Mus musculus: one gene and its partner. The protein of the gene in region 1 purifies or fractionates together with the protein of each later gene. This does not show direct contact. Links are inferred from orthologs where the notes say so. Each region holds a gene or a part of one and is shown in the gene's direction. Other genes may lie near its edges.

The links. Proteins that work in one complex are often made in the same cells at the same time.
Region 2: the proteins of Dusp9 (region 1) and Mapk11 purify together in Homo sapiens (affinity purification with mass spectrometry; 4 studies listed by BioGRID and IntAct, with this or other methods). This does not show direct contact. The link is inferred for Mus musculus from reciprocal best matches to the Homo sapiens genes DUSP9 and MAPK11.

Annotation. Positions count from the first base shown.
Region 1 is NC_000086.7:73,637,823-73,642,264, forward strand, and holds the start of Dusp9 (dual specificity protein phosphatase 9), read left to right. Parts: upstream 1-1,618; 5' UTR 1,619-1,819; intron 1,820-2,370; 5' UTR 2,371-2,405; coding exon 2,406-2,982; intron 2,983-3,524; coding exon 3,525-3,980; intron 3,981-4,261; coding exon 4,262-4,442. UniProt on the Homo sapiens protein: Inactivates MAP kinases. Has a specificity for the ERK family.
Region 2 is NC_000081.6:89,141,915-89,144,373, reverse strand, and holds the end of Mapk11 (mitogen-activated protein kinase 11), read left to right. Parts: intron 1-59; coding exon 60-233; intron 234-556; coding exon 557-636; 3' UTR 637-1,892; downstream 1,893-2,459. UniProt on the Homo sapiens protein: Serine/threonine kinase which acts as an essential component of the MAP kinase signal transduction pathway.

The DNA of each region.
Region 1 (4,442 bases):
CTATGCTAGAATTGGGGCCTTGCCAGCAGGCGCCTGGGACTAGGTGTAGGGAAAATATTCTTCAGGTGTGGACAGGAGTGGAACGGGTTATTGATGCCTAGGCTCCCCGTACCTTCATGGAGAGGTGCCTCTCTCCCATGCTCATCCTCCAGGGCAGTTCCTATCACTTCCTCTAGAAAGCCTACTCCGGAGAGCACAGCTAGATTTCTGGGAATACCAGTATTTCCCTCTTGTTGGAGATCCTCCCTCCAAGTACACAACCTCCAGGATTGGGAGGGTAAGATACTGTCTCTTCAGCTGTCTGCATCCATGGCCTCATGCCACCACTAACTTGTCCACAACATAATCAAGCCCCAGTCAGCTCTTGCCAACACTTGGCGTTCTCATTTTGAGAACATTCTACTAATGTAGTGACTGGGAAGTATTTCCCTATTTTTTTGAATTGGCTTTCCTTCCATGCCTGAGCTTCAACCTTTCCCCATATATTCTTACCCCATCACATTCCTTCCTTTGGGCAGAGTATGCAGTCCTTGAGTTCCTTACCCATTTATCTACGGGGTCTTAACCCTTTGATTATTTTGTGCGAGCTTTATCTTATCTGTTGTGTGTTTTCCTTTAAAACTGTTATTTGCTTTTCTTGGGCTTTTAGCAGAGAAAGGACACATGGCCAGATGGGGCTTTTTTAGAAGCCTCCCCTGCCTCTCCTTTCATTGTCAGCACTTATCACCCCGATATCTGGTCCAGTGCCTTTGCTTATTGTTAGTGTGTCCTGCTGGACTAGAACACCCAGGCAAGGAGAGCCCTTGTGTGTCTTTCCTGTTCATCACCTGTCCAGTGGGCTGGCTGGAGGCCACCAGCCTTAGTGGACTGAATGGTGCTCTGGAATGGGGCAGGGTGGAGACACGCTGAAGTTTCAAAAACTGGGACAGTGACTTGTATAGTCATGACCACTAGAAAAGCCAGAAGGAGAATGGGGATGGGGACATATTGCAGTAAAACGACTTCTTTCCACGTGGATCCATCCAGGGGCTTATGGGAAAGAGGCTTTGGGGAGGCGCCCCTCTTCACCTGATAAGAGCACAGTGTCTCAGTTTAGAGTTGGGTGCTCGGAATTCTTGTGTACCTTTAGCTAGGCCTGTACAAATGAAGCCCAGATGGAAATAGCACACCCAGGAGCTGCCTTGTGCCTTCAGTTTTTTAGTGGCATCTCACAGTAAAATACATTAGAAGGCTCTGATTGGCCCATTATACAGATGGGGGCCATCTAGTTCCAGGTAGTTCAGCATTATTGAGTTGTTTGAGACAGTTTCTGGTTCTGGGGCTCTGGGCTTTTGTCCCCACCCCTCTTCCTGCTTCCAGGGACCAGACTGGCGCCAAGCAGGGGCAACTGCAACATGTCCCCTGCTGGGCCCCCGACCTGCCCTTGGCCTCTGCCCTGACCCTGTCCCGCCTGGGTGGAAGCCCTAGCTCAGCCTGCGGCTTGCAACTCCCACCAGGCTTTTCCTTAGCCCTGGTTGGCTCTCCTGCTCCCTGAGCCCGCCCCACCGCCCCGCCCCGTCCCGCCCCTTTGAGCTGCTACTTAGTCGGTCCGAAGGCAGAGCCTTCCAAGGTGGAATCTGGATTCTGCTGCCAGGAAGCGGCCGGCGCACGAGTGGCGCGAGGCTTGGCTTCCACGTGCGAGCCTGCTCCACCACCCCGCCCTCTCCGAGCGCCCAAGCCTGGGGGATCCGTCTCCATGAACGATACCTACGCCCTGCCGTGGCACTAGCTGTGGCCAGGACGTCCGGGTGCAGTCGCCTGCCTCTGGATCTCGCTCCAGGTCTCTCCTTTTGTTCTCTCCTGGGGTGGGTAGGAGTGGGGCCGAGTCAGCTCTTACGGGACTCGCCGAGGCCCACAACCTCGGTGACCCTCTTGTTCTCTGGGTCTTCCGGGCTTTAGAGGAGAGCCGGGCCTTGAACCCAACTTCTCCACACATCCAAAATTGAACTTGGGGAGTGATGGAGATCAGAGCAAATGAGAAAGTCAGAAAAGGGGTGTGGAGGGAACTGGTTTTAGTCCTCCTAGCACTTCAGAGACCGGTAGACGCCCAGCTATCTTCTGGGGTATGTCTCACGAAAACTCCATGTAAGCGGGGCAGGGAGCAGCGCCCAAGTGGCGGCAGCCTCGGGTCTTTTTCCAGGGGCGCCTTCCTTGGTGTTCTCACTGTGGGTGGAGCGCGAGGAGAGAAGCAGGCGGTAGAGGAATGTCCCTGCGGGGACACTGAAAGCCTGCCCTCAGGACAGGGGTTGACTTCCCGCCTCAGTAGCCTGATCCACGCTGCAGGAGTAGAGACAAACTTGCCCTCACTCCGCGCCTTGCCTCTCTCCACAGCACCCACTGCCCGACGTGCAGGACGCTGCGCGACCATGGAGAGTCTGAGTCGGTCATGCCTGTGGCTGCGTCAGGAGCTGTCGTCCCCGCGCCCACAGCTTCTGCTGCTGGACTGCCGCAGCCGGGAGCTGTATGAGTCGGCGCGCATCTGCGGGGCGCTGAGCGTGGCCCTGCCCTCGCTGATGCTGCGCCGCCTGCGGAGGGGGAGCATGTCGGTGCGGTCGCTCTTGCCTGGGCCACCACTGCAGCCTCCCCCACCGGCCCCTGTGCTCCTGTACGACCAGGGTAGCAGTGGCCAGTGCCATCGTGAAGCAGCGGAGGCTGAAGCGAAGGCCGAACCTAAGGCTGAAGCGGAGGCCGAACCTAAGGCTGAAGCGGAGGCCGAACCTAAGGCTGAAGCGGAGAACGAAGCGGAGGCTAAAGCGGAGGCCAAAGCGGAGGCCAAAGCGGAGGCTAAAGCGGAGGCCAAAGCGGAGGCCAAAGCGGAGGCCAAAGCGGAGGCTAAAGCGGAGGCCAAAGCGGAGGCCAAAGAAGAGTGGGATGCTGACTCGGTGCTGGGCGTCCTGCTCCAGAAGCTGCGGGAAGAAGGCTACCCAGCATACTACCTACAGGGTAAGTGAGGGTCAGTGGCCTGAGAGAGCACTCTGGAGAGGCCTCAGGTCAGGAGAAAAGATCCTTCTTTCCAAGGGGATTTCATAATTACTTTATCCTTCAGCAAACTCAATCTTATTTTGTCTAAAATATAGGGTAAGCGCCTCCCTCCTGATAACCTGCCCAACAGCTTTTGGGGAGGCAGAGCTGACCGTGACCTTGGGCAAGTCCTTCATCCCTCCAAGCCCATTTATAAGTCTGGATAATGGGGAGAATTGACCTGAAACAACCTGGTTCACAGGATAATGCCCCAAGACTAAGGGCTGCATTGGGCACTTATCAGCCAAAGAAACAGTCACTAATGCTGAGTGAGGGTGGATGGCTGTCTATAGCACAGCACATGTGGTTTAAACAAATCTGCTGGCTTATGCGTTCCCTTTGGCAATATCTGCAACCCCCACCCCGGAGAGCTGTGTGGTGTCAGCTCCCTAGCCCCAGCTAGGGATACTTGGCTGCCCAGAGGCTATATTAACTAGTAAGACCTCGCCCTTCTTTCCTGACAGGTGGCTTCAGCAAGTTCCAGGCCGAGTGTCCTCACCTGTGTGAAACCAGCTTCAGTGGTCGTGCCGGCTCAGGCCTGGGCTCAATGTCTAGCCCAGTGCCTGTGGTGGGGCTAGGTGGCCTGTGCTTGAGCTCTGATTTCTCTGATGCAGAGTCTGAGGCTGACCGTGACACCTTGAGCTGTGGCCTAGATTCTGAGAACACCACATCCCCTCCAGCTGGGCTGCTACCACCCTTCCCAGTCCAGATCCTGCCCAATCTCTACCTAGGCAGTGCTCGAGATTCAGCCAATTTGGAGAGCCTGGCCAAGCTTGGCATCCGCTATATCCTCAATGTCACCCCCAACCTTCCTAACCTCTTTGAGAAGAATGGTGACTTCCACTACAAGCAGATCCCCATCTCTGACCATTGGAGCCAGAATCTGTCCCAGTTCTTTCCGGAGGCCATTGCATTCATTGGTAAGTCCTCCCTACTTTGTCCCCCTGTCCCTCCCCCTCCACAATCTCCACCCACCAGACTGATTCTTGGCCTCTCGTCCTCCTGACTCCATTCCCAGAGCCCACGTGACACTTGGGGAGGTGGGGGTAGAGCTCAGGTCAACTGCCAGTGAGAGAGATCCTTCAGATATGGTCTCGGCAGGGTAGGGAGGCAGTGATGGTGATCCCAGAAATTCGTATAGCTTTGGTCTCACTCATAGTGACCCTTAGGGGGTGTTTCTGTTCTGTCCTGTTTTACCTAGATGAGGCCTTGTCGCAGAACTGTGGGGTGCTCGTCCACTGTCTGGCAGGGGTCAGCCGCTCTGTCACTGTCACCGTGGCCTACCTCATGCAGAAGCTTCACCTCTCACTCAACGATGCCTACGACTTGGTCAAGCGGAAGAAGTCTAACATCTCACCTAACTTCAACTTTATGGGGCAGCT
Region 2 (2,459 bases), on another chromosome or scaffold:
CTAGGCTGGGCTTCAGATCTAGCATTGGCTATGGTGCTAAGCCTCACTCACTCCTGCAGCCATAGACCTCCTTGGAAGAATGCTGGTACTAGACAGCGACCAGAGGGTCAGTGCGGCCGAAGCCTTGGCCCACGCATACTTCAGCCAGTACCATGACCCTGACGATGAGCCAGAGGCAGAGCCCTATGATGAAAGTGTTGAGGCCAAGGAGCGCACGCTGGAGGAGTGGAAGGGTGAGCACAGGGATGGGGCGTGGGGCGTGAGGATGGGAAAGAGAGCAGTGTCCGTGAACCTGAGGGTTGCCTTTTCTCAGAGCAAGATTTTACCTGTTTCATGCAGGAACTCCCCAGAACTTCCCCAAAGGTCTGGGATGGGGAGGGGAAGCAGGGGGTGGGGTGGGGGAAGGAGGATGGAAACATATCTGTTTCTGAGTGAGACATGTAAGGGTGTGTGTGTGTGTGTGTGTGTGTGTGTGTGTGTGTGTAGCAGAGGTTTGGAGGGAAGTGGGCAGACAGCATAATCTCACCCTTCCCCCCTTTTTCATTCCCCTCCCCAGAGCTTACTTACCAAGAAGTCCTTAGCTTCAAGCCCCTGGAACCCTCACAGCTCCCTGGCACCCATGAAATTGAGCAGTGAGGCATTGCCTGAAGTGGGAGACCTGAGCCTGTCCCCTCTACTCAGCTTTCCGGCTTTCCTCAAGAGGCGCCTCTCAGGCAGCCCTGACACTTAACCTGGGACCGACCCCCTTGCCTTGAGAAACTCTACACACACACACACACACACACACACACACACACACACACAGAGGAATGCACGGATGTGTACATATGCCTCCCTCCCATTATGTGCTGGAGTCTGGGCAGTAGTGTTTCTGGACCTACCTTGGTCCACCCAGGTTCTCCTTGGGACCTCCGTGTGTGGGATCTGAGTGTGTCCCTGTCCTTGTCCAGGTCTCTTCTGCTCTTGAGGACTATCTGGATTGGGAGGAAGGCTAATGGGCCATGGTCCCTGGAGACTCTGAGGGAGGGGGAGTCACAGTGGTTGGAGATGCTCAACCAGGAAGTGAGTGGCTGAAAGCAGAGGCAAGCCCAGTGTCCCTCCTAACTGAGTGGCGTTTCCTCTGGGGATGGGAAAGCTGAGACCACCATCAGATTATCTATCTAGTCAGAAAAGCCTGCTGAAGATTTGTGGTTGCCTGTGGTATGTGGGCACATGGGCATGAGTATGCACCCTGGGATACACATCAGAACAAATGCAGGCATGTGCTGGTGTGTATGAATCTCTGAGCACCCAAGAGGCAGCAGCCATTTCTGGTCTGGTGCCTAAGTTGGAGATAACTCTTGCCTCCTCTCCCCCCAAGTTCCTGTTTTCTAATGGGTCTTGAATCCCAGCTGTGAACTAGACCAAAGGCTCTGAGAGGTGCCAAGATCCATTAGTTTAAGCAAATGTAAGGGTATAGGAGCAGCAGCAGGATCCTGAGTCACAAGGGCACAATGCCAGCTGGAGAGCTGATGAAGTTGGGGGTCTAATCTCAAGGATGCTAGGTGGCCAGCACCCACGGATGTGAGCATGGACATTCTTGCCCCGGGACCTTGATTCAAAGTTGACAAACGTCTGTCCACGTTCTACCTCCACCAACCCTTGAGGTTCTGCAGCTGGTCTGGGGTGCTATGGTTTGCAAGTCACCCCTCATCTCCCCATCCCCCAGAGAGGAGCTGACCAAGTAACTTTTGAGGTAGGGCCCTGTTTGAAAACGCGTTGGGGGTGTAACGCCTCCCTGAAGAGACAATGATCTCTTGCTTATCAGGGACCAAGGGGCTCTGGATGTCAAGTGCCTGCACCAAGAGTGTGCACAATAAAGGGGCATCCCTCTTGCTCTTGTCTGTGCAAAAGGCTCTGGATCCCATTGCTTCTACTGATTCTGCTTCCTGGAGGGGTGGCTGGATCTCTGTGCCTCCGTACACTTCCTGCTAGCGCCACCGACTTTGAATTTATTGTGCCCCTTGATCACTCAATGAGAGCAGCAGTCATTTCTAGTACTATCGCAGCTTCTTGGGGGTGTGTGTGTGAAGAACCCAGGAGACCAGTGCAGGACAAGACACACTGGTTAGAAGGGGCAAAAGGTGTAAGAGCCAGCACACTTTGGTCCCTGCACATTAGGGACTTTGTACATTAGGAATGGTGGACAGACTTGGCTCCCTCTTACTGGTGAGGCTGGGGATTGTCCCTAGAGAAAAGATCTGTTCTTCCTCAGGGATTGGACAGGATATGGGAAATAGCTTTCCTTCCTGACTAAGGCGAAAAGGCAACTTTAGCCCAGGATACAGCTCATGTGTCATGTCTATGTCCTGAATCTTGGACCGCCAGAGATCTGAGTCTGGCAACTGGTCCAGCGGTGGAGGTTGGGGCCGGGGGTGGGGTGGGGGGGTGGACCTAGAAGGCAAGAGCCAAGTCCAAAG